Linked DNA regions of Struthio camelus. The protein of the gene in region 2 interacts with the protein of the main gene of each other region in a pairwise test. Links are inferred from orthologs where the notes say so. Each region holds a gene or a part of one and is shown on either strand. Other genes may lie near its edges. The genes, in order: USP15, MAD1L1, BAG5 and TEX11.

The links.
Region 1: the proteins of MAD1L1 (region 2) and USP15 interact in binary tests that used the Homo sapiens proteins (3 or more experiments, as listed by UniProt). The two-hybrid records come from large-scale screens. The link is inferred for Struthio camelus from reciprocal best matches to the Homo sapiens genes MAD1L1 and USP15.
Region 3: the proteins of MAD1L1 (region 2) and BAG5 interact in binary tests that used the Homo sapiens proteins (3 or more experiments, as listed by UniProt). The two-hybrid records come from large-scale screens. The link is inferred for Struthio camelus from reciprocal best matches to the Homo sapiens genes MAD1L1 and BAG5.
Region 4: the proteins of MAD1L1 (region 2) and TEX11 interact in a two-hybrid assay, tested with the Homo sapiens proteins (2 studies listed by BioGRID and IntAct). The two-hybrid records come from large-scale screens. The link is inferred for Struthio camelus from reciprocal best matches to the Homo sapiens genes MAD1L1 and TEX11.

The regions. Positions count from the first base shown.
Region 1 is NC_090942.1:37,751,791-37,759,311, reverse strand, and holds the start of USP15 (ubiquitin carboxyl-terminal hydrolase 15), read right to left. Parts: upstream 3,026-7,521; 5' UTR 2,627-3,025; coding exon 2,538-2,626; intron 1-2,537. UniProt on the Homo sapiens protein: Hydrolase that removes conjugated ubiquitin from target proteins and regulates various pathways such as the TGF-beta receptor signaling, NF-kappa-B and RNF41/NRDP1-PRKN pathways.
Region 2 is NC_090956.1:6,271,656-6,278,934, forward strand, and holds the start of MAD1L1 (mitotic spindle assembly checkpoint protein MAD1), read left to right. Parts: upstream 1-4,257; 5' UTR 4,258-4,355; intron 4,356-4,522; exon of another isoform or gene 4,523-4,650; intron 4,651-5,640; 5' UTR 5,641-5,644; coding exon 5,645-5,794; intron 5,795-7,091; coding exon 7,092-7,232; intron 7,233-7,279. Other genes in the region: MRM2 (rRNA methyltransferase 2, mitochondrial), read left to right, coding at 468-757, 1,550-1,974. UniProt on the Homo sapiens protein: Component of the spindle-assembly checkpoint that prevents the onset of anaphase until all chromosomes are properly aligned at the metaphase plate.
Region 3 is NC_090946.1:72,465,893-72,473,879, forward strand, and holds the start of BAG5 (BAG family molecular chaperone regulator 5), read right to left. Parts: upstream 3,301-7,987; 5' UTR 3,208-3,300; intron 2,571-3,207; 5' UTR 2,543-2,570; coding exon 1,190-2,542; 3' UTR 1-1,189. Other genes in the region: COA8 (cytochrome c oxidase assembly factor 8), read left to right, coding at 3,380-3,505, 3,985-4,182, 5,472-5,535, 7,405-7,495. UniProt on the Homo sapiens protein: Co-chaperone for HSP/HSP70 proteins. It functions as a nucleotide-exchange factor promoting the release of ADP from HSP70, thereby activating HSP70-mediated protein refolding.
Region 4 is NC_090952.1:25,538,671-25,546,875, reverse strand, and holds the start of TEX11 (testis-expressed protein 11), read left to right. Parts: upstream 1-5,126; 5' UTR 5,127-5,183; coding exon of another isoform or gene 5,184-5,208; coding exon 5,209-5,239; coding exon of another isoform or gene 5,240-5,316; coding exon 5,317-5,429; intron 5,430-7,561; coding exon 7,562-7,646; intron 7,647-8,205. Other genes in the region: nuclear cap-binding protein subunit 2, read right to left, coding at 2,606-2,704, 3,394-3,532, 4,371-4,552, 4,876-4,962. UniProt on the Homo sapiens protein: Regulator of crossing-over during meiosis. Involved in initiation and/or maintenance of chromosome synapsis and formation of crossovers.

The DNA.
Region 1 (7,521 bases), on a different chromosome or scaffold from region 2:
TCAAGTTCTGTGAAAGGCCAGTATGGTTTATAATGTTGAATTCACTAGTACTAGTAAGGTTGTGCCCTGGAAAAGCTTAATTTTGATGTTTAATTAACATACCTGTTTAGAAGAAAAAGGGTGAGATGGAAGAATCCTCAGTCTCTCCTACTTCAACCTTTTAATTTATTAACTGTCTATAACAATAGGAGTTTAAAAATGCAGTAAAGGCCACTCCAGATGAACTAGCCCAAAATCTTGTCTCCGAGGACAAAATAGTCAAAGGACACTCACCTTGCCCATCCATTGGGGCAATACTTTTTCATCTCTACTACGCCCAAGCTATTCTTACAAACACCCTATGAAACAAATTCTGCAGCTTAATCAATTGTACAACTGTTTCACTATTCTACCAATTCTTAGCTAACATCTAACTTTAAAAATGTTGCATTTAAAGTTAGCTTCATTTCCTGCTCTCTGCAGCGAACGTGAAGAACTAATGAAGAGTTCATTGTCCTCATTACAGATAATAAACGATTTGCCTCTCTTTGTCCTATTCTTCGGTTTTCTCTTTTACTAATGGAAAACCCCAAAGCTTGATACTTTCTTTATATAGCTTATTGCTTTCCTCTAAACTCTAAATTCTGAATAACTGAGACAAAACTTTCAGTACAAGCTGCTAATCTTAGAAGGATTGTATTTTACATACAGTGCTTTAAGGCCCAATCAAAACAAGCTGCTCATTGAATTGTTATATATCATTGTTCACATTCTTTTTCAGCAATACTAACTACTGAATGAATGAAACTGCAATTTTGAATCATGACTTACAGTGCTTTAACTATTACATTTCCTTATTGACCCCATCCCCTCAAAATCAAAAAGCTATTACCAAAACATCTCTGAATAACATATCTGGACTAAATATATTCTTCAACTTGTGAAATCTTAAATACATAGCTCTAAGTACTACCCTACGAATGAACATGTACACACATTTTTGTTTCTAGATTTACTAGGGGAAGAGTCAAAGTTATTAAGACTTTATCATAGCTTTTTCAGCCTTAAAACATCCAATTAATATTAGAATATGAGATTAATATTAGACAACAATCACAGCTAAATATACTTAATACAAATATACTAAATATACTTAATTGGGGAAATAAGCTTCCAAACGAGTATATTTGATTTTTACATATGTTAAAATGTTTAATGTACTAAAAATGTAGCTCAAGAAACCTACTGTTTTTAGTCGTTATGTAAACAGTCATAAAGTTATTTTCATTTTGAATAATATTAACCATTTGAGAAATCTTTCAGTACTTGGAAAGTACCCAACAGACTCATAAAAGAAAAATCTCTTAAAATAAAACATTTCAAGTCCAAGCAGCCTTGTACTACCACTGGTCATTTTCAACATCACCATGTGAATTGATTTCCTTTTTCTAGTTGCTTATACTTCTCAGTTTAAGAGCAGCCTGTTCTTATGCCAAAAAGTGAACGTATACTCGGCAGTACTTGAATAATGCATCAGAATATATGTATGGCTCTGACACATGCTGCAGTATCAACACTGTTAAATATAGTCTTTTATAGAACTGGAACAGTGAGTGATGACAGCTGAAATGAGGTGGGCAAGTTCTACTTTTGTGTATTTGTAACTTAATTTTCTGTAAGTTTGTGTTTTAGCCTTTGTATTTAGGTGATCATTTCACAAGGGAAAAGATGAAGAGGTTGAGCGGTGGAAAAAACATCAGTTCCTTTTTCTGTTGTCTTAAAAAAAAAAAAATTGCTTCCTAGCCTCAAAGAACTCAATCACAGAAGCTCAATTAACCAAGCACATCTAGAAAGAGATGCTCGTTTAACCTGCCTAATGCTTTTCAACCACGGATTATTCTGTTGGCAATCCGCATGGCATACTAAGAAATATTTTGTCACTGGTCAAAAAAACATATATTTTTAGATGCTTGCTGCAGAACACGCGTTCCTAGGGGCCTGGCGGCACCTTCGGGGAAGGCTTCTTTTATGCAGTTAACACGGCCACAGTGAAAATGAAGTTTCCAATTGAGGCCTACCGCAGCCGAGCACGGGCTTCACCGCGACACCCCTACGCTATAGATATGATTCTTGGCAACTCGGAAGGTGACGCCAGAGCCGTTTCCTCCCTTTAGCCTGGCGGACGGCAGAACCGCCCGGCAGCGGAGCGCTCCTCCCGCCGCCTTTCTCCCCGCGAGGCCGAGCAGGCGCCCCGCGGCCCCCGGGCCCCTCATTGTCCTCGGCCGCCATCCGGCTCCGGCACCGCCGCTCCCTGCTCTTCCCTCCCCCGCCGCTCGGCGCCGCCAAGGAGCCGACCTCGGCGCCTGCCCCCGGCCGGGAGGGAGGTGCTGCCCCCTCCTTCCCCCCGCCCTGTCATCCGCCTCCCACGGAGCACGCAGGAGGCCGGGCCGCGGCCAGCGCGGAGGGAAGGAGGTCGGTCCCTCCGCCAGTCCGGCGGCACCGGGGGCGGAGGGAGCCGCCCGCGTCCATCCATTCGGGTCCCCCGGCCCTTCCCTCACCAGGTGTCGCCCTTGCGGAGGGCGGTTTTGAGCAGCGCCGCGATGTCCGTGCGCTGGGTCTCCAGATCCGCCGCGCCTCCCTCCGCCATCTTCTCCCCCCGGCAGCAGCAGCAGCAGCGGCGGCGGCGGCAGCGGCAGCAGCAGGGGCAGGAGCGGGCCGCGCTGCATGCTGGGAGTGACGCCGACCAGGGAGACGCCCTCGCCCCCCCCTCCCTTCCCACAATCCGCAGGGCGGGGAGCCGAACCCGCCGCAGCCGCTGCTGCCGCGGCCTTTGCTGCCCCCCTAGCGGCCGGGAGGTCTCTCATGTCACCGCGCGGCAAGCAGCGCGCATGCGCGCAGCCTCCCCCCCCCCTCTCTCTCTCTGTCTCTCTCCCTCCCCCCCCCGCCGCAGGGTGGCAGGGGGCGTGGGGAGCCAGGGCGCTCGGCGGGACGGGGCCGCTGCCGGCTCCCGCCGCTTCTGTCCTCTCAGGCAGGTCCTCCTCGGAGCGGAGGGGAGGGGAGCCCGGGGCCGTGGGACGATGACTCAGCACGGCTATAGCCTGACGGGAGGGGGGAGGGGAACGACCCCGACCGAAAGCCTGGCTCCCTGCCTGGCGTTGAGCCCTGCCCGCTCGCCCGGCCCCGCCCCCTCCGCCCGGCTCCCCCGCAGGCCCCACCCCCTCCGCCCTGTACCCCCGGGCCCCGCCCCCTCCGCCCGGCTCCCCCGCAGGCCCCGCCCCCTCCGCCCGGCTCCCCCGCAGGCCCCGCCCCCTCCGCCCGGTTCCCCCGCGGGCCCCGCCCCCTCCGCCCGGTTCCCCGCAGGCCCCGCCCCCTCCGCTCGGCTCTCCCGCAGGCCCCGCCCCTCGGCGCTGCCCCGCGGGGCTTGCGCGGGCGCGGGGCGTCCGCTTGGTGCCGCAGTGGTGCTGGTGCAGCAGCGTGCTGGTTGTGGCGTCCGCGTCCTTCCCGTTCCCGTTTCAGCCTTGGGAGACCATATTTCAAAATGGGTCTGAAGGAGGGTTTTGGTGGAGACCATACTTTTGGAAGGAAGAACTAGTGTGACGCTTCCTGTTAGCGTTTTAATTTAAACAGAGATATAATGAGATGTTGGACACCTAGCTAGCAAATGAGTGATTTGGATTCCGCCAATGATACAGTCTCTATTATTGTGCAAACACTGTTGGGAGTGTAAATATGCTGTGTGACATGCATGAATATTCCCAAACCTGTACAGAAACCAAGGGATAATTTACTGGGTCTGTTTCCGTCTTGCCAAAACCTGATGCTTGTACAAGCAGCGCAACGGGACATACGATATCCGACCAAAAGCTGCGTGAGTCCATGGGTTACATCACATTAGCAGAATTCTCCCCTTTCTACCTTCCTACTTGTATACAGATTTCACCAAATCAAAATTGTATAGAAGACTGTGCTGGGGGGGTGGCAAGTGCTGATTGCAAACAGCGGAAAACAAAATTTGATTTTGTAGATCTATCTGGTATATCTATAAAACATGCAATTGTATGTCCAGCCCCTTCCTCCACCCAAATCATTACACTGTGCTGAATTGTATGACTAACACTAGAAAGGTATCATAGGCTGCCACTCATATTATAAGCTATTAGGCATTATTAGCTATTAGCTAATTGTCACTAATGAGCTAATAGCATGTAGTTGTTATAAATAGCACTGAAGATTATTCTTTAGATACAGATACATCAAAAAAGAGAATAGAATTAAGGCTATTAAATGCAGCCAGGAGAGTACCAAACTAAGTAAATTGCCTGCATTATCAGCAAAGACGATGATGTTGAAATAAAGGCAAAGCCAGGATTTGTATTTGGAAAGGGCACATGGAAGTCATGTCCAAAGTAGAAGAAGAGCTCCTAAGAGCTTGGAGGGGCCAGCCGATCACATTCATAGCTTCTGTAAGCATGGAATATGCAATCCCAGGCTGAGGGGCAAGCGAGTCAAAGATATCTGTTATGTGGAGAGTTGTATTATATGGAGAACTGTGGATCTGCTGGCTATGCTTAATGAGACGGAAGAGTGAACCGGGCAATGACAAGAAGGTTTCCAGCCATTGAATGAATAAATGTCAGGGTTAGAACCTCACAACGTGGGAGGAAGAATTTGTGAGCCCCCTCCCCCCCCCTCGCCCCCCATCCAGTCTTGACAACTAAAACCAGTATTATAAACAGTGAAAATCATCCGTATGTACCAATGTTAAATTTTTGCAAAAATTGCATTTTCTTGGAAAATTGGAGGAAAACATTTCTTGATTCACTATGCTGGAAAACAGCTTTATTGTTCAGTAGTCTGTAATAAGACCAAGAGCCACTTGGCTCTTGGAGCCACGTGTGCCTCTACTTTTTGGGTTTCATGATTGCAGTTACTAGGTGAAAGATCTCCTGTTCCTGAATTCAGTTTGTTCATGGTTCAGAAACAGATACTAGACAGATACTAGGTATTAAAGGAACTAGACAGAAAGGAGTATAATGTGCTATCTGAATCAGAGCTTTGCTTAAGGATTGTAAAGGAGAGACAAGAATAACTAAGTCTCCTTCTGGGATTGTCAGTGCTTCACAAGAAGTAGCTATGCCTTTCACACTAAAACAGCATATAATCTTCCTAAGCTTCAGGAAACCTTTCCGCTATGCAAAATTCTTGAAAACTGCCAGAGAGTGTTAAATCTGTATTTTTAGTAAAGCTTTCTGAGTTTCCAAGTACATCTACCCTAGAGAGTGCCTGGGGATCTTTGCATTTTAAACCACTGGATACACTGAAACAGCACTGATACTGATGAACTGCCTCCTGCCTTCTCTGATGAAAAACAAGCTTTTGTGATATAGATTTACATCTTACTAATTTTGATATAATTGAATTCAGGATACTGTTAATCTAGGCGAGAAACGTGGCTGACTTTCCAGTAATCATTGGGCCTGCATTGTTACCTGATTTCATTGCTATCTGATGAATACTTGTAAACATGTTGCATTGTTTTTCTAAACATTGATCCTAAAAAAAAGGGAAACAATTAATCCAATATGTAGCTGCTCAGACATTCGGCAAACGGGCTTCAGATAACAAACCATGTAAGCTGAGGAGTCTATTGATTCCCAATACAGCACAAAGTTTACGCTCTCCGTTCTTGTCTTCAAGTCAGTTAGTGGACTCGGATAAAGAAACTTACGGCTTCTTCTTTTGGGATATGAGCATCTCTGCTTCTCACTGGGAAAGCTTGTGTACGCAGTAGATTCTGTGGAAGTGACCGACAACTGTAAGTCTCACCTCGGAGGTACTGTAGACCAATTTACTTCTCCACTTTTTTCTTTTCTTCCTAAACCTCCTACAGCGTAGTTGTGAGTTTATGGAGGAGAAAAATAGGGTTTCAGGTTCCCTTCCCCAAAGGCCTGGCAAACACCCCGGCCCTATGGTAGGGTTACAGCTAGCGTGGCTCTGTGAATTTCCTATTCAGTTTGAAGCTGAGTCAGACATGAAGCCCGACATACCAGCATGAATACAGATGGATACATGTTTTACATATAGCATTCACACATATAGGCAAGAAAACACTGGTAATTTCACTTTTGGGTGACAAATCTGATGGAAACTCTTTTAAAGCTAATCTTACTAGCTTAATGTGTTTTTACATGTTTAAAGGGGAGTGAAAGATTATCAATTATCAGTTCCCACCGTTGCTCTTTTTGTTCCATGTCTTACTTTTTTGGGATGTATGGGAGTTGCCTTAAAATAATGATAAAATTATAAGCTTCTTTGAAGTAGTTCAATAACAAAACAAGAAAGCAGAAATCACAAGAGACTGGAGTTATATAATGGGAAGATACAGCAGGGCACTTACAAGGCAAACTTAGACATGGGAACAAAAAATCAGTACTTATGAAACCTGCGGAAATCCACGGTAGCATGGATGGACCGATGGTAAGAAGCAGATGAGAATATGCTTTTTTTTTTTTTAAGGAATAAAGAAGAGTGGGATAAATTTGAAAGACAGAATGTGGGGAAATAATTTGTAATTAAGATACCCATTTCTGTCCAGACAGTAAAACCAAGACTGCATTCTAGTTTTTGAATAGTATTTATCCTAATCCACTCTATGCTTGGTTAATGCTTTCCTAATTCACATAGGCTGAATGCAACAATGCTAAATCCTTGTATGAGTTAGGTGGAATTGCAATTTCTAGCTGTTATTGCAATAGCACACTATCTTTCCTTGAGACAAGAAAATGCCCCCAGATTTTAAAATTTGATAGTTCTTTATTTAGTTGATTTACTCAAACTATTACTTTCTTACCACGTTTTCAGTAGCTATTATTACCAAAAGGATTTTTTCAAATGAGAGAACAAGGGTTTAGACTGATGGAGATGTGACTATTATTTTTTTAATTCATGTAACATGGAGTATTCAGTCTTATCTTCATGCACTTAATCTAGTACCATAGCATCCTTAGAAGAATTAAATTGGAAAGTTCGTAGATGAGAATATAGGGGAATGAAGATAAAGAAAAGTCCAGTGGGACCAACTAAGGGTGTCCCAGAAGTTTTTCTGATATAATGACAGTAGAAGAAACACTAGTATTTTCCCATTATTCTAGTTCAGAATTTTTAAATAGTGGGAAGTATTCTTTTTATTTGTTTTTATAATTTTCCAGCAAATTACTTCTTAATAGAGTATACAAACAATTAAAGAAATAATAAGCTGAATATGACATGCAGTAATATTAAAATAATTTTCTAATTAGTTTTATGAATGTAGTTATTATCTTTTTATTGGTTACCCCTCTGTTTAATTGGAAATTTCAATTCTACTTGGACTTGAAAAAAGATGTCTGAAAAACAGGCCTTTCCTATTATCTGATTTTAATCAGAAGTTCGTTTAAACAATAATTACGTATTTTCACCAAGATAACATGACTTTCCATGTCCTTAACCCAATGCTTTTAGCTAGACATAAAAAATCTGTTTTCAAATTATTACGCATTAATT
Region 2 (7,279 bases):
GGGGGCGCCTGTGCGCGCTGGGGAATCCGCCGTCCCTCAGGGGCGCCTTGGTCGGGGCGCCTTAACCTGGCCGGGCCGCTGCTCTTCTCCTCAGCTCTGCCTTCGGTGTTGGTGGTTCATAAGGGCTGCTGCACATTGGGTGAACGTTGCTATAAGGCTTAAACGCGAAAGCCGGGGTGGAAACAGGGAGCTGTTAGGAAGGGGATCGTCCTTCCCCCTACCTGCTTTGTTCAGGGAATGGCGTATGAGGCCTTGATCCAGAACGAGGCTTTTTTTGTTGTAACTGGAACCGATAACTAAAGATGCTGCGAATGGCCAGGATTCCAGTGCCTGAACTGGAGGCTGCTGGAGAGCGTGGTTATAAACGGGAGCAGACGTAATCGGGGTTAGAAATAGTTCCTGCGGAGAGCTCTGAAATACACTGTGGTGATGTGCTAGTCGGTTAACTCGCCTCTCTTCCCGGGTAGCGGCCGGAGTTTGGTGAGCCTATCCCTGCGGTGCCGATGCTTCCACGCTGCGGTGGCGCTCCTGAAGAGAAAGACTGGAGCAGATCACCAGTGGCTGGAGCGGCATTTGAAGGACCCCTTTGTCAAGGCAACGAAGCAGCAGAATTACCGCTGCCGAAGTGCCTTCAAATTACTGGAGATAGATGACAAGCTTCACATCCTCCGTCCAGGACTTTCTGTGCTTGACTGTGGAGCGGCGCCTGGCGCTTGGAGTCAGGTTGCTGTAGAGAGGGTCAATGCCTTGGGTACTGGTAAGTGCACACGCGCTGGCACCTGAGATGGAGGTAACGCTCGTTTTGAAGTGTGTGGGAAAGCTCAACTGTGCTGATGGCGGAGCGGGGAAGGTACGTGGGTACAGACTGTCGCCACAGCCACTGATAGAAATTTCAAGTAGCAAAGAACTCAAGATTCCTGGCCCCAGGGTGATAGTAAAGAAGCGTAATTCTTCATATGGTCTGGAGAAATCATATCTATGAAATTAAACCCTGGGATGAGGTGCTGCTATAAGACTAGCTAAGTCTTCTGCTTAGCTGAGTTGGAGGAAGTTACTATATAAAAGGCTAATGAAAAGGCTGGGTGAGATCCCCTCTTCATCTGCCTCTGAAATTCATGTGGCCTCCAGCGGGTAACTTACTAAATTTTTGTTTCCTTTCTTGAATAACGGCAGTAACCACTACATACAGCTTATGTGATTTAGGCCACTAATATTTATAAGATAAAGTATTATCGTCTGTATTATTGTCCAGAATTTTTGGACTGCCAGCCTCGAAAAAATCGACAGAAAAAAACCAACAAAAATACCTCTTGCGTATCTGGAATAACTGCCTTTTAATGTTTTGTATGGAGTAGCCTATAGCAAACCGTCTATCCAGATATGTGCAGCAAACTCTTTATGGAAGGACAGGGAGACCGTGTTTGGCTGCTGATACGTTTTTGTGTATTGAATATCATGGAGCTCAGGTATATGCAAGTTGCTTGTAGCCCTTATATCATAAGAGCGATCAGTGTGTCATTCATTCTGACGACAACTCTTTGTTTTCTAGATCCTACTGTCCCTACTGGTTTTGTCCTTGGAATTGACCTTCTGCGTATTTCCCCACTGGACGGAGCAGTCTTCCTGTCAGAGACTGATATTACAGACCCAAGCACGCTTAGGACAATTCACAGTCTGCTTCCTGCAGAGAAGGTGGATGTTATCTTGAGTGATATGGCACCTAATGCAACAGGCATCAAAGAACTGGACCATCAAAAGTTGATCAGCTTATGTTTAGGCCTTCTGAATCTGTCGCAAAGCCTTTTAAAGCCAAAAGGAACTCTGCTCTGTAAATTCTGGGATGGACAGGACTCCCGCCTTCTTCAAGGCAGACTGAAGGAGCAGTTTCAAGACGTGAGAACTGTAAAGCCTCAGGCTAGCCGGAAGGACTCTGCTGAATCTTATTACTTGGCAAGACTGTACAAAGGGAAATGAAAGCTGAGAATTGCAGATTATCGAACTGGTGATCAGACACTGATTGGAAATCTTTACTTGGCAGGTATTTAAAAAAAAAAAAAAAAAGGCAGGCATGAAGACCTCCAACATCAACTGTCACATTGTTGAGAACAACCTGGGAGAATATACTGCAATTCTTAGGAAGTACATCATGCTTTTCAAGTACAAAAGTAAAACCAGGATGGTGCCCTGCTGAGTTTATCCACTAATTATACGAGCAGAGACATCCAATTTAGCTTCTCACCTGTGGAGAAAACTGTTGGGAATGAAGAGGAATAATCTGAAAGGCAACCTCTGGGGCTGGAGTAATGGAAATAAAAATAAAACAGTGATTACAGGTTTTTTTTTTTTTTTTAATGCGTGTGCTTGAAAATCATTGCACTACTACTGCTGTCATATTGGAGACTAACCGTAAAGGCAGTTTCCAAAATGAGAGGGGACAACAAGGGGAGTGTGAGCCAATTTATTTCTTCTCTGTCTTTCTTAAAAGCTGGTACAATTTCTTAGCACGCTTAAAAATAGATAACACTCTTGTGCATGTCAGAGTCTGCGTTGTCACATACAATCTATAATGCAGACGTTCAGAACGTATGACTCCGGCTCTGGGATATTGCAAAGCTTGGTGGCTTTGCTGCATTAGCTAAAGACACGTGTTATATTTAGAAATTGTTACTTCATTGTACTCATAAATCCAGTAAACGACAGAGGCTCATCACAGTTGAGAAAATAATTTTTCCCTATATCTTCAGTAATGCTTCATGTTTCACTAGTGATGTTTGTTAGGTAAAATGGCGAGATGTTCCTTGGATCCCAGATAGGTAAAATTACTGGTTGAATTGTAGAGTTCTATTTGCAAAAATAAACATAGCTACTATCTTATCTGGAAGTGACAGCTTTTACATTAAATAGGTCTTTTATCAAACTCTGTGAGGCATGAGTTACAGGAGGGGCTGGTAGCACTGCCTGTTTTTAAGGCTTCCAGATATTTCTCATTATAGACACCTCATTTTCAATGGCTTAAAATATATCAAATTTTAACTAGTTTGTCTGAAACTTTCAATTCTGGATCTCTCTACTTCAACAGTATGCCTGGAAGTGTTAGCCAAACAGCCTAAACTAGGAAGCTGGATGTTGATTTGCGTATGTTTGGGGGGAACAATTATGGCAGTCTGCTATTTGAAAACTTTGTTACCCTGTGATTTGGTAGCAACTACAACTGAGCAGGATGTTTCTATTAACCATGTGCTGTTTACTTTTGTTGCTCTGACTGCGGTTGCGGGAGGGGAGGATGAATTCTGACTGAACAGGAGTGTTGAAAGCCTGTCCGTGGGACAGGGTGAGAAGAGGGAGGAGAAGGGCGGCCAAAGTGGTGCTGGAAATGAGGCTGGATGCTAGAGAGGCTGTAAGGAGGGAAAGAAAGAGCAAACGGGACAAGGCCTAGAGTTTGGGGGGAGCCTGGAGGTAACAAGGACAACGTGAGGAACGCAGAAGTCTGGCGGAGCTGGCGTTGCAAACGGACAGCCGCAGGGAGGCCGAGCTTGGAAGATGCGGGCGGGAGTCCATCGTGGGAGGGCCAGCTACAACCCCTTCTCCGTGACGGTATTTCCCCTCTGAACTGGGAACGGAGCCCTGCTGCTAGACTGATTGTCTCCCTCTGCGAAACCCACGGGCAAAGCCTGTGTCTTGCTGATGTTTAGTGCCTGGAGCATCTAACCTACATAGCGCGGACTCTGGGGAAAGGATGAAAACAGAGGCCGCATGCCTCAAAGCGGGCCCCCGGGACTGCTGGCTTTTTGCTGTTACCTGCCTTTTCTTTTCCCTGTAAAATGAGGTTGATACTTAAACTTATGATCACAATAGCCCCATGGGATGAGCTTTCGCAGTTTTCTTTTAATCCCCATAGATCTCTATTTTACTGATACTTTAAAAGTGAGCGATGAGAATCTAAGAAACAGCCGGAGCAGCTCAGTTTTCTGGAGGGTTTGCTAAGGGCAGCAGCAGCTGATCAGAGCTAACGCTCCCCTTTATCTTTCCCAGGATTTTGCTTTTTTCACTCCGCAGCACCGGCACGTGCGTGGGCTTGGCGAGAGGCAGGTCCTGGCCTAAGGGCAGAGGGGACGGGGCAGCGTTTTGGGCAGCCGGGGGCAGAGCGAGCGCCGCATGTTATGGGGCAGCGGAGCCGTGCTGGGGCGCGCCGGCCGGACATTACGGTAGGCGGCGCTGCTGCGCGCACGCACTCGCAGCATTACGGCGGCCGCGGGCGCTCTTCTCGCGGGAGCTGGGCGCGAGTTCCCGTGAGATCTCGGCGGCGGGGCGAGGAGGGAGATCCAAGCGGCGGCGCGCGCCGCCGGCTGTGGCGGGTGAGTCCGGCCCGGCCCGGCCCGCGGCTCCCGCCCCGCCGCCCCTCGCGCCGTCCCCGTGTCTCCGTCCCCGTCCCTGTCCCCGTCCCCCCCGGCAGCCCCCGGGGCTCCCCGCCGGGCCGACGCCGGGGCCGGGCAGCGCGGCGCGGCCTGCCGGCCGGCCGGAGCCTGTGGTGAAGGGCGAGTTGGTCTTCCCAGTCCCCTTGTTTTCTCCGGATCCGTTTGTTTCCCGAACGGGCTCGCTGGAGCCCGGTTACCTGTTGGCACTGGTCTCTTTTGGATTTACTGGTGTCTGGTACTGAAGCCCTTACTTCGAATAAACGTTGTCGTTTGGTTTTTCCAGCTGGTCTGTTGTTAGTGTGCTTCTCCTTCCCCCCACCCCCCCACCCCCCTTTTCGTGGTGCTGTAAATTGTTAAGTGCTGCGCTGTGCTGCTCACGCACGAGCCTGGAGGTTGTCCCAGCGCTGTGTCCTGTGCAGATGTTGTGTTTTGGGGTTCCTGGTTCTGGGACTGCGTGAGGTGTAAATCCCTGCAGGCTCCTGAGGTCTCCTGAGAGCAGCTTACAGGCTTCTTTGAGCTCCACGCTTGACTTATCTTTGGCCTTCTAACAACGCTTTGAGGGGAGAATTTCAAGTCTGTGCGTGAACGAGAGCCCAAAATTTCACTTTTGAAAGTGACCTTAGAACCTGGGAAGTCTCGTCATTGAAAGTTAGGTTCCAGAGTGACTTTTGGAAACCAGGATCAGGTTCGTAGCTGTGTACAAGGTAGAGTTTGCTCTATGGGTTTAGGTCTTTTCCTACCCCCGGCCTTACAGTGTGTCGAGGAAGAGTAGCAAGGGTTCGGTTTGTTGGTGTTACGTGCTGTGGACCTCCCCTGGCACAATGTTAACTTGTACCCCAGCTTTATTCTGATCATATAGCAAGGGAGAATTCAGTCTTGCGTAACTTATGACACCTCTTGTTTGTATATTTATGGGCTGAGACTCAGGGGAAAATGTATTTAAATACAAAATGTACAATTTCAGGTGGAGAACTAAGGGGAGAGAGGTTCTCTTGCATCAGTCTCTCATCTTCAGCCTCAGTTGGATAGTGTTTTCTGGTTCACACTGATCCCAGCAGTAATCTGTGAATCTCAGCAGTCACTAACAGTTTGGGTTTTGTATGCTGTAAATAGGAAGATCTTGCCTTCAGTGTTACCCAGGGCAGTGTGTCTCTTGTTAGAAGAGCAGCCAGTAGACACTAGGTTGCTCTGAATGTTTTGCTGATAACTTTCTGTGTATTTGCAGAGCCATGGAGGACTTGGAAAACAATACTACTGTCTTCTCCACCCTGAGGTCTCTCAACAACTTCATTGCACAGCGTGTGGAGGGGGTGTCTGGGCTGGCTACGCCAGGATCATCGCAAAGCTCTTTGCAAATGCAGTACCAGCAGAGGGTGCAGGTGAGGTATCCTCCTCTTGCTGATACCTGCAGCATCACCTCACTATGAATGTAGACTCCTTTTGATTCTGTGTGATTCAAGATCGTTTGCATTAAGACCTGACCGTTCTTTCTAAAATTGCTATTTATGCATGCTCAGTAATGGAGAAGTTTGCTTTGGGTGAACATTCTTTAAGTTTTTTTTAAGTGTTAGCCTTATGTGTATTTCTGTCTTGTGAAAATTTAAGGAAAGTCCTTTGAATTTCTTCCTCACTGATTATATCAGTATACCAGCTCAGAAAATTAAATTGTAAGTTGCTTTCAGTCTGCTGCTTAACAGGTGTATTTCCAGTAAGTTATCTTGTTTACCATTTTTCACCACCCTCTTTAAAATTTCTTTGCCTTGATGCATATAGGAGACTTGCACTAGTGCCATGGCTTCGATATGCCAACGAGTTTTGCTACCTTATCCTCTTCTATTCAAATCCATTGATTGTTGTGACTTTTTCCTGTAAGCTGCCTTTCTGATTTTGTTTTGCTTTGTGTTCATAAGACATCTAGTAGGATGACATCTTGGACTCTATATTAGGGACTCTATATTAGACTCAGAAACATTTCTGCAGTCTATATCTTGATATAAGTTCTATTTAAATTCCTAAGTATACAATAAGGTGGTGGTTGTTTATTTTTTTTTTTTTTAATGTAAATCTCCTTTGCATTGAGGTTGCTGACAAAAATTTGTGTGTTTTCTGTCTGTAGTACTTCTCTGGTTACAGAGCCTTCGCTAGATATATGGTGATCGTATATTGCTTAGAAGTGAGGTGTTCTATTAATATTATAAGTGCTTTAAAATAATTTTGTACGAAGCATTCAGTCATATAGATAAAAAATATATTGTAACAGGTTGTAGAAAAACATGCTATTTTGCTCAACAATTACATTTCATGGGAAAAATGAGCTCTGCTTCTTGGTTAGTTGCTGTTACTTTTATAAAGCTTGGGGGATTTGGAATTAACCCTCTTTTAGGTAGAGAAGTGTGTTTTGTCAGATAGAGGGCCTCTAGAATTTGGATGAGAAATTCTTAGTGAGGAATTTAAAATTCACTTGTTTGTAACTAACATTAATTTGACGTGGGTTTCTGAGCATGTTGTCGAACTCTTAGCCTTAGCTTCCCAATCCGCAGCTTGTTTGGGAAGACGTAAGTGAGGTGATAGTTCCCTTGTAATTTTGTAAAATACTATGCAAGTGTCAGCTGGATAGTATGGGTTGCAGTGCTATTAATGATGTGTAATATCCCTCTTCACATATGAACTGGCCAGTTGGAAGAACAAGCTGGGCAGATCCATTCCAAATCTCAGCTCCTGCAGGTGGAACGAGAGAAGATGCAGATGGAGCTTAGCCACAAAAGAGCTCGCATTGAGCTAGAGAAGGCAGCTAATACTAATGCCAGGAACTATGAGGTAAGTACAACAGCTGCTGATGGTTTGATATCATAGGCCTCAGTCAG
Region 3 (7,987 bases), on a different chromosome or scaffold from region 2:
CATGCTACTGTAGAAATGTCACTGATGCTAGCAGCTACAAATAATAAGGGAGGCTCCTAGAGCAGTATAAGCAAGCTTATTTACTAAGTTACTAAAACCATTAAGCGATGAGTTGCAAAGAGAGATATATGCCACAGGTCTTTTCCAAGTCATGCTTGAAGCCACACCTGACCGATATGAAATACATAATACACATTTAAATCATTAGGGACACCTCTATAGCTACCTAATTTTACAAAAATAATTCTGAAATGCTCATTCATTTCAGCGTGACTTCTATTTTTACCAAATGTGAAAAAGACTAGTCAAAAGCAAATCTAACAGCAGAGTTTAAAAAGACCCTAAGTAGCCACTAAAGAAAGTTCAGTGCATTTTTCAGGGGTTTATGGAGAGCAGTATGAAACCCTACAAATCCCATTTATCTAATCAGTGTATGTGCACAGATTTTCCTCTCCAAGTCTCATTTACCTCAAAGCAAGAATTTGAGGGAAGTTTCCACCAACAGAAGGAAAAAACCCTGCATTTGCAAACAGAACGGGTCAGATATTACAAAAACAGACCTAATTGGCTTTGCCTATGTAAATGCTAATTTGCAGTTGGCATTATAGTTCTGCTAGGTAAGAAATCTAAACACCCATAAAGGTATGCTGGATGGAATAAATCAAGTATGACTCAAAAGCCAGCAGTTTTTTGCATTTAATACTTTCCATCATAACAGCACATTAAGAGTATATCCAGACTGCTATGAACTTGCTGGATAGATCCTCATGCTTAAGCGCTAATTTTTATGCCCAGTCTTCTTGAAGTAGTTCTGCCAGTCCTATACCATAAGGCAGTTTCTGCACCTTTGAAAAAGCTGCACTCTCTAAACATTGCACAAGATTATCACAACAAAAACAGGGAAAAAAGCCCATTCGACCAGGTATTAAGCCATTCCTTCAGAGGATCACATTTCTTTGCTTGACAGCAATGACCAGAATTGCTGATGGTGTACTGACAGTTGCCATGGCAAGTGGGTGAGCGCGTGGGATAGCAGACATATAGCCAAGTCAACTTCTTATGCAATTGCCATGATTTAAGCAAACATACAACACATCACTTTTAATCACGTGCTGCCAATTGAACTATCAGTCTGCAGAAAGCACCAAAGGGGAAAAAAAAAGGTATTTTCTGTTAGACTATGGCTGTTTCAGTACTCCCATTCATCTGTTTTCATATCCAGATAGTAAAGAATGTTCTGTGCAAGCTTCACTGCTTGCTTTCTGGCAGCCTTAACCCGCTCATCACCTTGTGGATCAACAGCATCGAGTGCTAGAAGTTGCTTTGTAAGAAGCTCTTCCAGTCTCATGTAATTTTTATCCATTCTGTTTCCATCAAATGAAATCACTTCCTGCTGAATTTGAGACAAGTTTCCAAGAACGCCCCAAACTGCTTTATGAGATTGATGTTCAGCAGCAGTTTGCTCAGGATACATTTGCCTTTTTTCAAGCGCTTCCTTTAAATCAATATACGTTATCAGAGTCTGCACTTCTATTACTGCTCTTCTCCTGGCTTCTCTAATACAGGGGTTTTTCCCTGGACTGACTTCATCTAATTGGGCAATTAATCCTTGCAGTTCTGCCTTGGATCCCAAATACAAGTCAGAAGCATTCTCTGTTTTTAAAAGTAAAGAATTAACTTCCTTCATTTTCTTGCGGATTTCTTCTATTTTTAGAATGGACTGATTTTGTGCCAGGTCATAAGCATGAGTAGAATTTGCTTCCTCCTCCAAGTCCAGATATTTCTGCAGTTTATTGATCTCTTCGACTACTTCCTTTCTGTAGTTCCTTATTTCTGTGCGACCACAGACATCTAAAGCATCCAAATCAGCAATCAAGCCTGTGAGCACGCAGGATAAATGCCTGCAGGTATCATTGCTATTAACTCCCATTAGAAGTGCAATAAGAGTTCCTCTAGCTTTGTTCACATCACACATTACAGAGTTAATTTTGGAGACAGAAGGATGTGCATCATTAGAGAGTGGTAGGGACAGCTGTTGCTTTACACAGCTTTCTATAATCTCCTGAACAGCGCATACTTTCGTCAGAGTGCGATATCTTGCTTTGCGTAAAGAAATTTTCCCTCCAGTTTTCACCTGAGTAAGCCTCAATATAACGTCCTGAATACCTTCTTCAAATTCATCACTTATACAGTTGCCTCCTTTGTAAAAAGGTGTAATCTCACGTTCCACAAGCAACTGTGCTTCCTTGAATATAGCCTCTATTTCCAGTCTGTGGGGATGGTTTGCATTTTGTTCCAGTTCCTTGAGTAGCCTCTCCGTTTCCTGAGCCGCACGCTTTCTGGCTTGCTGAATATCTCCTTTTCCTTCAGTATCTACGGAATCTATTTCAAAAAGCTGTTTAGTAAGAGTCCTTTCTAGTCTCTTATAATCTTTGTCAGTAGACAAGCCACTGAAGATGACAACTTGTTGTTCGATCTCTTTGACTTCTTTCTGTATTTCATGCAACCGTTTTATGGATGGATGTTGGTTGCCCATATCCATTCTCCTCTTTCTTCCAGTTTCAGATGAACTACAAAGAAAGTCAGGAAAAGACGTACGATTAATAAAACGCTATGCGGGCATTTCGTTCCGTGGCGGCCTGAGACACCTCAGCAGGGCAGCTACTTAAATCCCTCTATCAAGAGGAGTTAAAAACAAAAACAAAACCGTGTCCGGTACTCTGCAGCCGTTCCTCTGTTCTTTCACACCTCCGGCCGCGGCGGGGGGAAGCCGAGGGATGCCACAACAAGCTCGGGGCGTTTACCGGAGAAGTTCAGCCTTGCCCTCGCGGCCGGCTCTGGGCGACAGGGCAGGGCGGCAGCGCGCCGCAGACCCGCTCTCGCCGCGCCGCGCCCCCGGCCGCCGCCCGCCGCCTCCAGCCGGCACAGGCCCCGCAGGGCCTCCCCCCGGCGCCGCCGCCTCAGGCCGCGCCGCCCCCGGCCGCGGCGCCCCGAGCCGGGGCGGAGGGCGGCCAGGCGGCGCCCGCAGATCACAATGGGCCGCTGCTGCGCCAGCCCCCGGCCCGCGGCGGCGGCGGCGGCACCCGAAGGGGGTCTCCCACCCGCCGCCGGGCCCGCGGCGCACAGCGCAGCAGACCCGCCCGCCCGCCCGCTCGCTCCGCCGCCGCCGCCGCCTCCCTGCCCGCAGGCCCGGCCCGGCCGCCTCACCTGTCTCGCCCGCCGGCCCGCTGTCCCGGCGCTGCGCCACGGGCCGAGCGGCAGCCGAGGGCCGCACGCTCCGCTCCGCTCCGCCCCGCCCCGCTCCGCCCCGCTCGGCTCCGCCAGCCCCCGGCCGCGGGGCGCTCAGCGCCGGCGGTTCCCTGAGCGCCGTAAAGCGGCGATGGCCGCGACCGTTAGGGCGGCGGCGGGCGCGCGGCGCCTGACGGGGGACGTTGGGTGCCGCTGCCTCTCCTCGGCCGGCGGCGGCGGCGGCGGCGGGACGGCGGCTGAGCGGCCGGAGAGCGGGGTAAAGCCGTGCGGGGGGCAGCTCGAGGCCGGGCCCGGTGCCGCGGGGGCAGCCGGCGGGACGGGACGGGACAGGGCGCGGGCGGCGGCCCACTCGGCTCGACCCGGCCGGGCCCGGCTCCTCCCGGCTGCGGGGACAGAGCTGAGGCCGCGGGCAGGGTCTCCTGCCGGGGGAGCGCCGGTAAGGTAAGCAAGCAAAAGAGCAGGATTTGGGGCTTATCTTAATTACTGTTATTTATCATGATTCCTATCTGTCGGAAGAGTTAAAGGTATCTTTTCTGTAATTCATCTCCAAACGTGAGTGAGTCATGAGCGTATGACAGTTTTCAGTCAACATGAATGAATGTGCATGACTTCTGACCTTGCTGCGTGTTTTAAGGTTATATCCAGTCGTGTGGAGTTGCGGGATTTGTTTCACATCAGGCTCTTCCGCAGAAATTGCGCTAAAGTGGTGATAATCCTTCTGTATGTATTTTTAAGGGATCGGGTTTCTGCCCTCCAGCACATTCTTGTAACGATTGGATTGGCCCGCCCGACAAGTACTCAAATCTCCGACCAGTAATCTTCTATGTTCCCCAAAATGAATCCCTGCTGGAGCGCCGGCTCAGGGAGCTCAGAGAGGAAACCCAGGCTTGGAACCAGCGGTTCTGGGCACGCCAGAACGTGTCCTTCCAGCAGGTGAGCGGGCAGGGGAGGGCTGCGCCGCGCGCCGCTGCCCAGCCCCCGCAGCCTTTGGGGTGCTGGCCCTCTGCAAGCAAAGGCGTTCCTGTTCTCCGTTAAAAGGATTTGATGACTGCGCAGTAGGATGACCTTGAGCGATGATTCCTGCGTTATATGGCTATCCCAAATAGCCAAGTTCACAAAATTATGATTTTTCCCTTCACAAACTAGCATTAAATTCTGCCTTCAGTTACTTATCTCTTGCTTTTAATTGCTACTACAGCTTCTTTTAATAAGTTCACTGTCTTTGGGGAAATTCCTTTTTGTCATTAATTTTATTCTCAATGTTAGTTTGTTTAAAATGACCTACAAAACTGAAGAGCTTATGTATTTTACTGCTGTTTAGTGTATAAAAGGATATTTGCTTTTTCTTTTTTCTATTTTGCACTGAAAAGGTAAAGTTGTAACCACCTTTACATGCAAGACCTGTAATATTTGACTAGAGCTGCTTTTGAAAATGATTCTGCAGCTTTTTTTGCTCTACCGTAAGTGAGAAAAGTATAGGTAAGACCACTGAGGGTAAATGAGGGATGTGCGCTCTTGCACTGGCAATGTACCCCTAACAAGGCGAAAAGGGGGGACGTTTTCAGTCTTGGTCTTTCTTTTAAACATTGTACCATGGGTAAGGACACACCAAATTCTGTTGGAAGACTAGCAACAGTCCAGTAATTCACCATCACTTGTGATGGTCTTCGATCATTGTATTGTCCCCAGACTTGCAAAGGTCTTGGAGTAAGTGGAGCATGCTTTTTTTTTTTTTTTTTTCCCCCCTTAATTAGCTAGAACTGCTTTTTAAATTTGAAAATTTGAAATACTAATAGTTATTCTTTTTCCATCTAAGTAATTTCAGTTTTCTAAGGTTGCACATTTTCCTGTATACTAAAATTCTAAAATAAGTAACACAGCAAGTCTTCATAATTTGTCTTTTGTAAAACTTTGCAAGATTTGGATCCTGCAAAACAATACTTAAGCTCAGCTATAACTTTACTTCCACAAATAAGTTGCGTATGTTTCAGCAGGACACTTGCATGAATTAATTGATGCACACAGTTAACATCGAAGCAACACAATTATCAGTGTAATTAAGTCACTGGATTCAGGAAAATGTTTTTTTGACATCTCCAAGTGCAATGAGTACTGTGTATATTTTGGAGGGTATTAAGCGCAAAGCTGGCATGTGATTAAAATCAATGGTTAACTTCAAGGACTGAGTACGTTAAGTTCTAATGTGGAAAAACATATTTTAGGAAAAAGAAGAATTTATTTATTCAAGACTGAAAGCCAAGGGTCTGAAAATGAGAGATGAAACAGGTCAGTGACATCTTTTTTTGTAGTTTAGGATGTGCTCTGAAATCTGTTTAATTTTTATTTTTGCCTGTTTATGCTCCTTTCAGGAGTCTAACAGAGAAGGAGGGGAGCTCTTGAAAGCTGTGCAGGTCAGATCTGCACAACTTCCCCCCTACCCTTCCACTGGAAGGAATGTGCTGAAATCCTAGCAAAGTAATTTCATCATTCTGTACCCTTAAGGGGGAAGGTTTTTTTTTTTCCTTTCACAGCTCATCGCCCCAGTGAACTAGCTGAGCCAAACATATACTGTTTGCCCCAAGCGCATGTTACGGTTGAGTGGATAGATTCACACTGTTCAGCCTCGGGTCGATAATATGTACAATGAACATGTTATTTTTCCTTGAGGGAGAATGAGCTTCCGAGGAGACAGCAGCTGCTCTTTGCCCTTCTTTGCCTGAGGACAGTTACTGTAAAATGTTTCCCTCTCTAACTCATTACATGAAATTGAAAACAAGAGGCCTTCGTAATACAGCGAGTTGGCCGTTGTAACATGAGGTTGAACGTTTTGTTCATAGAGTAAAGATCTGTTTTGGTTTGATAGAAAACCTGCTCTGATGTTCAGTATTTCACAGACCGTTGTGTTGCACTTTTATTTGTGTCCCAGTGATCACTTTGTAGTGGAGAAAGCATTGTAATTAAATTACATGTTATTAAGAAAAAGTTTATTTTATATTGCTGATTTGTTCTTTTAGGTTTTTATATCCTAGAAGTAAAAGAGAAGATAGTAAATTTGTACATTCCTTAAAAATAAAATTGCATTCAGTGCAAATGTTTGAGTAATTGGTTTTGTTCTACGCCATGGCCCTGCTGATGGGTGATGCTGGAGCAAAATTGTTGCTATCCACAGTCTACTTGTTTGGAAATTTTCACTGAAATCACAAGACACGTGTGTGTGTATCTCTCTTGGTAATAACCTATACGTATGTGCAGTTGGAACAATGGTTATTTCTCGTATATACACGAAGACTCGGTTAGTTCTGCTGATACCAGAATGAAGAAACAAATTAACTGTAGCTGTTAAGCAGGCAGCTTTCAAATGGTCTTACGATAAGTTTACCTCATGGAATGTTAATCCATTGTAATATTTTAAATTTGTAAATATTGACAGATAGTCGTGATCAATAATTTACCTTCTGATGATAAATCTCAGGAGCTTTAAATTCATTTTGAAACGCTAACAAGCTGAATCTCTCGATTCTGTCTCCCTCATCATATCTGAATGTCCCAGGGGATAGGGATTTGATGCTCGTTTTGGAAATATCAAAAGCGCCAGAAAGTTTATATAGGAAATATCTGGTCAGAATATCATCTGGTCCTCTGGATGCTTCTTCTGTGCTGTAGCCACACATTTTCCTTTCATGATCTGTGGAGAGAATCCATCTTCTCTTATATTCTGCATTATATGAGTGGCATATTCAGATTTTTTTTTTATATTTGTGTGTGTGCGTGTGTGTATATATATATTTTATTCAGGGATATGTTTCAGGTCCTGTCTTGAACTTACTTTTCCACAAGAGACTTGTCCACCCTATTGTTAATAAATCTGACAGCCCAGAGCAGATAATCTTTCATATGAGTTACTTGAAATTTACCAAAGGCAGCAGAAAGAATTGTACCATCAAATCAAAGTTTCAAGAGGATCAGCATTTTTAATCTGCTCTGCTCCCTAGATAGATTTTTAAAAAAATAGGGAGATAGAAGCATATTAACTTGTCTAGGGATACACAGGAAGCCTGTAGGAACAAGCAACCCGAACTAGCTTTCCTGAGTCTGCACCCAGTGTTTTAATCACAAGAGCTATCTTGACAACGTTATGCTAAAACTTATTTTCAGGTCAAAAAGCAACGCTGAATGCAGAAGAAATGGCTGACTTCTACAAGGACTTCTTAAGTAAAAATTTTAGAAAGCATATGCATTACAACAGGTATGTAGATGATTTTCTTGCTGAATATTATATTACTGTCTAAGTGAAGGGCATAACATCAAATAGAAAAATCAAACATTTTTTGCCATAGTTGTTAAAATAGCATCTAAAGCTATCATTTTAGAATTTGCAGAAAAATTTGAAAAAACGCTATTAGCATTTGACATGAACTTAGGCATAGTCATTTGAGTTCTTCCACTATGTATGTTTGATTTTATGGAAAGGTAGATGTTACGTCACTCTTTCCAGAGACTTTAGTGAGACAAAATCAGGCAGCGCTCTATTCCTAAACATGCCTGCCCTTGTTTTAAAATCAGGTAGTGCCAGCTGCATCATTGCAGTTACAAAGTGTAACTGCACAGCCTTGAAAACAGCGGAGTTTATTGTAGACGTTTTGACTTTTGAGGAGTCATATTTAAAAAAAAAAAAAAAATCCGTTTATGCCTTTGTCTCTATGTTCTCCTCTATTGTTGCCAGCTGGCCTGAAAACTG
Region 4 (8,205 bases), on a different chromosome or scaffold from region 2:
TGCTGCTAAGCCGTACTGAATTCTTCTTAGGTCTCATCGGGTCTCTAGGTTTGTTGGCTGCGCTGCCCGGCTTGGCACTGCCTCCGCTCTGTGAGGACAAAGGGTTTTCTCTTCTAACAGGACCTTTGTGTGCTGATGAAAGGTGCCTGAAAGGCAGCCCTGGAGCCCGAGTCCTGCAGGCCCAGAGCGTGCCACAGCAAGGAGCCTGGCCAGGGTGGGAGGGGTTGCTCCAAGATGCTGTCAGTTGCTGCTGCCTGATCACACTCGGGGCAAGGACACCCCTTCTGACCGATAGAGGGTGGTGTGATGTGGGTACCCCTATGCTGTAGCACGGGCCCAGACCGTGCTTGTAAACTTGTAAGCTTGTAAACTTTCTCATTGATTTTTTGGCTCTTTGGGATTGTATCCTAGAGGAAAGGGACTTTGGCATTTACTGCAGCTGTAGTATTTCAGATGAATCGTTTTAGGTGAATACATGCATCTGAATAAAAGGTAACACAAATCTCTCTTTGCAAAGGCCATGTATGAAAGGGGAATGGTGCATAGCTTGCCAGCCTTGGTTTGGGACTTGCTGAAGGAGATATTCTTTCACTAGACTGAAATGAGTGGGACAGGGAGACCTCTGTGTAAAGCTGAAATCTTAGTATTTTACAGCAACAGACTGATGCCTTCTCCAGTAATAAACTAGTCCAAGCACCCGTTCAGATCAAACAGACTTCCACATGTTCCGTCATGTACATAGGACTGAGACCCCCAACAGGAGGAGCAAGTTGAAGGCTTGCCTTATATATCCCTACTCAAGGGACTTTTGCCAATCCAGCAGCGTAATGGCAGATCTCTCTCCCCGTCTTCCTCACATTTTCTCTTTTCCTTGCTACGTTTGCCTAAGAAATATTCTCTCCGTAATTCATATCCTTCACAAAGCACCTCTCACTGATGCTGCTTTGCCAGGCTGGACAGGGGACTGCATATATTTTTCCCTCTTAAGTCAACTTCCTGCTCCTTCTCGCTGCATCTCAGGGGCATCTCGCTGTATCACAGGTTTGTCAACTTGTGTTGTTTCTTAGATTTGCTGAAGGCTTAACATGCAGGTCCTTCAAAACCTGTGACAGTTGTACAGATGCAGCAACCTGACTTGCATAAACAAGCAGGTAGGAGACATTTCAAAAAATTAAATGCAATCCCCCCACCTCAGCTGTCAATGTCAAGACTCCAGGCTAACTCGAGCATTCAAGTAAGTTAAATTGTATGCCTAGTCTGTACATGAGTAGGCAACAGAACAGACAGCATTATCTTGAATAAGATAACGTGAGAGAAATTGTGACTACAGGTTATTGGCCTGGGAGCAGCTGTTATTATTTGCATAATACAAAACCAATTTACAGTCAGAGTTTAACTTGTGCAATGGAATTGGCTGAACCGAGAAGTGCTCGGGGGCGGATCGGAAAGGGTTTTTGGTTCCTCCATAGTCCCTTGTTCAGACCCTAGGCAGAAGTTAAGAGTGTCAGCTCTGGTCTTTATACCTCTCACATAAGGGGAAGAAAGCTTGCTGAAAACACAGGGAAAGGAGTTCCTGGTTCCTTCACCTCTGAAGTGCACACTGGGCCTTTGTATTGCTTTTCAGATTCTGGAACTAACTGCGGTAACAGGAGAGAGAAAGATTTCCTAGAATCTCCTGGTGTGAAACATAAGAACTTGCCTTATTGAGAGCAGCTGTACACTTTTTATAAGCAACTTCCTTCTGATTTCAGCCAGCAGCTATTGCAAAGCACAACAGGAAAGCTAGGAGGAAAAGCTAGTACCAAGAGAGAGGCCAAGAGAAAGACAGCAAGACTCATTTGTGCTCCCTTTTAGTCTTTCTGTTCATGACTTTAAAATGCTAATGGGGCACGCTCCCCAGCTCCTGTCATACCGCTAATGGTTTTGATGCACAAACTGCAGCAGGTACAGGACTCACTGTTTATTTAAAAAATTAAAAGAAATTTAACAAAATCACGCCGAACAGTGAGGATCTGAAAAGCCAGGCAGCACTGGGGTCATCACAAAAAGAAAGGCTCTGCAGGCCTGACCAAGCCAAGGGTTAGATGTGCAGACAAGCACCTCCAAGTGGACAGTAAGACCTTGTTTCACTTCTCTCATCTAAACAGCAATACTGTTTTTTAAGCAGACTGAGATTGTAAATTAGAGATCTGAAACTCTGGTGCATCTCTACAAGGTGCCCAGATACCTGGAGGGCTTTGATGTGGGTAAACTTCCCAGAAGTTCCATTTGAGAGCGACCATGGCTGCAGCCAGCCTGGAGGAAGCCAACCGCTCAGCTGCAACGTGAAGAGTATGTCCTGGCACAAGGTCAGCGTGACACGCTGCACTTCTTCTTACCCAGAATCCTGCAGAGCTGTCCGTTTTTTCCCTTGTTGTCCTGTATCAGCACAGAACATCCTCTCTAGCCCAGAAGGAAGGGGGGATGAACACATGTATATCCACAGTCTAAGGAGAGTCCCCTTTTGCTGGAACTTGGATTTCACTCCCTACCCCAATCCAAAATGCAAGTACAGGGCTAGCTCTGGAAGGACAGAGCCCTCTATGAGCTAGAGCCCATGAGGCGTTTAATAGATTGCAGGCTGATGGTTTGCCTTCTGCATCTGAATGATCTTGCCAAAGCCGCCTCTTCCCACATCGTAGTCTGTCCGGTACTCATCTCGCACCTGGGGCACAGCAGTAACACGCGTTAGTACCCTGTACTGCCTATCTCCCAGTAGACTTCAGAATCATCATCCCTTCCTTGCTGCACTGGTGGGGAACTGAAATTTGGGTTACAAGTTCTTTGACTTGTTCAAAATCTCTTTAAAGAATCCACCAAAAAATTACTGGTGGTAGTGAAAACAACAAACAAGGATACAACAGATTGCTAAAGGTCTTTTTAAACAAAAAACAAAGAAGATCCAAAAATATTCTAATTCAACTTTGCAGTTAGCTTTCTGAATCAACAGAAACATTTACCCCTCCTCCCCGCCACCCTCCAGGAAATCTGCAAAGGAATCTCACCTTCTCACTGGGGCATGCTGCTGGATTATGAGATTGGCCTAGCAACTACACTGCCCCCCCCCCCCCCCAAATTTCAAATTCTGCATCATTTTAGGAGTACTAGCTCAGGAATAAGGCAAATTCTGTTTGCAGAGCCAGAAAGATTGGAGTCCCAGCCAGAAACTGCCTTAAGCTCTACTTAGAGCTGTAAACGCCAGGGTAGCTCAGTTATCAAAACCACCAGGGAGTGTCTAAAATTCACTATTGGGTCTTCATTATCTGCACTTTATCTTGAATAAGACAAAACTGGCAAAGCAGCACCCAACTTTAAGGAAAACAGGTTCAGGGTCTGAACTAGTGTTCTCTTTACCTGTCCTCCAGTCTTTCCTCTCCCATACTGTCGCCCTTCCTTAAATCCTGCATCCCAGTCAGTTCGAATGATGCGGTCATCTAGTCTGGTGCCATTGATAAATCGCATTGCGTGTTCAGCATCTGCTCTTGTGTAGTATCTGAAACATACTGTAAGGAAAACTAAACGTGCTATTTTGTTGGCTGCAGGGGGGGGGAAGAGAGAACTATTGTATTTGAGAAACAGAGGAATCCTGCCTTCCAGCCTAAAACACTGCTCTTTTTTATGGCATCAAAAGCTACCTTCATATAAATGCAAGCTGAAAACAGCCCCAATTCCTTCCTAAGATGCTACACTTTAATGTGAGTACCTGTACAGACAAGAAGTAGTTTTGGATCACTTATTTCAGAAGTAGATGAAACAAATGTGTTAAAGCTTTGCTACAGGCAAGAACGCTGTAATATGCCTTTTTATAGCATATGAAACTTGACTGAATTTGAATAAGATGAGCAGGCCTCCCAGGAGAGCTTTGCAAAGGCAGCTCACAGTACAACTTGTACAAGCGTGTACCCTGTGCTCGGGAGTAGTGCCATGGATTATTCTACTAGTTCATTCAGGTGTGAAGTTAGGGTGAGAAAATGAACATGTGCTCTTAATTTTCACCACACAACAGGTCTGACTGGTGATTTCTTTTTGGGCCCTAAAATCTGCTAAATGAATGAATGAAAGGTGCTCTCTGCTGCCTCCCAAAAATACAGAAGTGACAGTACTTTTCACTTACGGTCCTGCAGTAAGACCTGCCTCTGAACGAGGGCAGAGGGGAAAAAAAAGCAGAGAGGACACAAGAAATGTGCTTGACAGCCAGAAGGATGGAAGGATCGACAGGGAGAACCTGAGTTTTGCTCCCTCTTTCAAGTTTTGCGCGCTTGCTTCCCAGAGAGGGACTAGGGGTGGCACCCACAAGCCAGCTGGCAGTAGCAGGGAAGCAGGGAGGATACTCTACGAAGCAGAAGCCGCAGGGAGTTTTCTTGATCTTGTCCAGCCCCATGACAATCCTCTTGACGTCCCCGCACTTGGAGAAAAGCTCCTGGATCTGCTCCTCGGTGGTGTAGAAGGACAGGTTGCCCACGTACAGCGTGGAGGAAATTTTGAGGGATTTCTCCTGCAGCTGCCTGCTACCCTGAGGGCAGAGACGAGCACACAGCGGGGTGAGCTATACCACCACAGTCCCGGGGCTCCGGGGGGCACCTCCGCCGGGCCCGGGGACACGGTGCCCGCCCGCCCGCCCGCCCGCCCGCACACCGGCCTGCCCCGGTACCCGGTGCCTCCCTCCACGGCCCCGTCGCCCCTCAGGCCCCAACCCCATCCCGGTGCCTCCCCCGGCCTCAGGCCCCGCTGCCTCCGTCGACGCTCCCCGCTGCCGCCTCAGGCCCCGCCGCCCCTCCCCCCTCTTCAGCGCCTCAGGCCCCGCCGCCGCCGCGCGCGCGCGCTCCGGTGCCGCACCCGGAAGTGCTGGTCGCGGTACTGGCTGATCTCGCAGTAGGAGTCGCTGTTGAGCCCGCTCAGCGTGGTGTGGAGCAGCCCCGACATCTCGCCCGCGCCCGGCCGGGCCCTGCTGCCGGGATCCTTCCAGAACCGGCGCGGAGCCCACCGGACAGCAAGCGGGCGGGCCGCCCACCGCGCTCCGCCTCATTGGCGCCGGCGCTTGCCACTCGGGGTCGGGAGGCGGGGCGGCCGCGCCGGGCAGCCAATCGGTGGGGCGCTGAGCTCCTGGCGGCGGCGGCGGCGGCGGCGCGGTAGTGGTGGTGGGAATGCGCATGCGCGGCGGCGGCGGCGATGGCGATGGCGGCGGCGTGCGGTGTGGCAGGTACCGCCCGCCGCGGGAGGGACCCGGCTCCGCTGCCGGCCGCTGCCCTACACCCGCCTCTCGGCCTTGTCTTGCAGGGCTGGTCCGCGAGCTGCTGAGCGAGGAGGCGCCGTCGCGCATCGCCGCCGCCACCGAGGAGCTCTTCCAGGCGGCGGGCAGCGTCGCGGCCGAGGAGGGCGGCGCGGCCGAGGTAGCGCCGCGCCGTCGCCCTGAGGGAGCGGCCGGGCCGCGCTGAGGCGACGCCGCGCGCCTCGTCCCGCCCGTGGGCGGCGGGGCGGGAAGTTCCCCCCCCCCCCCGAAGTCAGTTGCGCCACCGCCGAGGAGGCCGGGGCCAAGGGTTCAGTCCCGCGTGGGGAGGCGTGTTCGTGATGTCCACGCCGGTGTTTCGGTCTTCCAGTTCATGCCTCGTTATAAACTTGAGTGCAAACCCGCCTTAGGCATCCGTGGGTGCTTAAGGACGTCGCGCTGGCTCAAAACAGAGGTCTGTCCCACCCTGCTTGTGGCTTCCAGTACTGTTAGCAGCTGCCTGGGGAAGGGAGAAAACAAGCATGTAGCTTTACTTGCCTGGTAAACCCAATACATAAGCTCTGAGGTTATTCTATTTTCGTGTATTTGAACAGTGATCCAATTCGCTTGCATAATGCTTTTGGTTTTAGATTTTTTTTCCTCCTCTAGTCAGGCCTTGTGCTGGACTGCTTATGAATAAAGTAGTAAAATTCTACTTGAAGAGAAAGTTCTGCTTTGACAGAAACTGTGTGCAAAAGAATTCTGATGAGAAGTGTATGAATCTGGAACAAAAACAAGAATAGCTGAGATTTTGTCCAACTTGTTCCTCCAAAATTATATGCTGAGGGGAAATTTCATAGTGACTATCCCATAAGGCAGACAATAGTTCTGAAAGTCCTAAATCTGTGACGAGGAGCAAGGTGGGCTGGCAAGCGTCACAACCGGGAATATTTTCCGTGCTCTCTGTAAAGAAATACGTTTGCATAAAACCAGTAGCCTTCAGTTCTTCCTGTTGGGCTAAATGATTTTTAAAGAAAGGAGAAATCGTTATCTTGTAGTTTGTTCTCTTCAGTAAAAGGAGCCATAAAATTTTGCTATTTGATTCTTGTATGAAGCCCAAAGTTCTTAGTTAAGCAAGAGCATATTTTCAGAAAGACATTTGATTCGGATTTTATGATCCGAAGTGGTTGAAAATACTGGCTTAGGGTTGTTCAAGCAGCTTACTGCCTTCGTGTACGACTCTGTCATCTTTTTAACATCAATGCCTAGCCAGTAGCCTTTGTTCTTTGCTAGTATCAGAATTTTCCCTGTATAGGTATTTACAATAACTAAAGTACTTAATTTCCTTTTTAGGAGGCAAAAGAAGTACTATAAATGTTTGCAAACCTGATACAATTCTTAGAGCTCCTTTCTGAACCCTTCTAATTTTTCAATATCTGTTTAAAGTGTACATACTGTATTCTGAAAGCTGCCAGTGAATCAGCTGTGTCTTGGACAGTGATGTGCTATTGCACAATTTTTGCATGTATTTTTGTGAGAAAACGTCATTCCAGATGGATAGGCTAAGGTAGGTCATATTTTGATAAGTTTGGAAAAGGATTTGACAGAAACATATATTAGGACCCTGGAACAACATGACAGATGAATGGAATTTGTTTAGGAACATATTTTAATGAAACCAAACAAAGGACTGGGAATGTGTCTGAAGTCCACCACTTCACTTACAGAATTCGTTGTGCGCAATTTCAAATTAGAGCTGAAGTCACTGATGGATGACGTGACATGCGTGTGGGTACTGCTATCTGCCTTATGATTAATTAGTTCTTTTTAGTTTCAGGTCATGTCTGCCTTTGGTTTACAGTCATTTTCTTTCTTACCTTGCTTCATCTTAGAAATACTCTCAAATGTTTAGAAGCTGTGAAATAGTCTTTTCTAAGACTAAAGTCTAAAGACTAAGTGTATCTTATGAAAGACGCTTATGAAAAGAATACGTGAGTCCTGCCAAATGCTTGTAAGTTTTCTGAAATGGCTGATCCATTGAAAAGAAGCTACTTTTAGCTCAAGAAAGCCCATGTGACCTATTCAGCATGCCTGTTTTCAGGTTACTGTCCCAGATCTCTCTGTGGAGACAGTCAGATCAGGTAATAGTTTCACAGTAATCTCACATGTGTGAGCCTACTGTAAAAGGAAGTTACACAGACGTGCGCACAGGTCATTAACATGACATACATGAAAGATGATTCTTTTTCCAGTAGTACATTTCAGCGTGATCCAAATTGAGGCAAAGATTAAATCTAATGGAATTCTCCCTCTCAGGTCGAAGAGAGTGCAATAAACCTGTGGAATTGGGCTGTGACCAAACACACGGGTTCTGTCATCAATGATGAGCAAAGAGCTAAATGTATGTATGTGTTCTGTATCTCCCTAAACGTTTTTGTGTGCTGTAACGTGGAAGGGAAAAACTCTGCTGACAGATACATATATAACGCTGTGGATTTGTTTGGATCTTTGTAGATAAGATGTAGACAGAGAAAATTGTACAGATGGGCTATAGAAACGGTTCAGGAAGGATCATCCTGGTGTAATAATGATCTTGTGGCACAGAATCAGTGTAGGAATTCTTATCACTCCCCGTTCCTGTGCCAGAGCATCCGTAAAAGCGTGATGTGACCAAAGGAAGCTGTAATTTGCCTTCTAATGCTGTTTTTAATCTGAAATTTTATGGAAATGATATTGGTGTAAATTTTAGACTGTAAGTCACTAAATTGATGTCAAGTAAGAAAGGTACTTTAAATAAACGCTCTCATCAATGACTACATGCAGAAAAGCTTTAAATTATTCTTTTTGCTAGCTTGCTTTAGCCCAGCACACAGCTAATGGCTTTGCCTCGAACCAGGAGCAAGCTTGGGGGAAAGTGGAAGGGAGCTTTTGATCTTTTTCCTCATCCTATTCTTTATGTA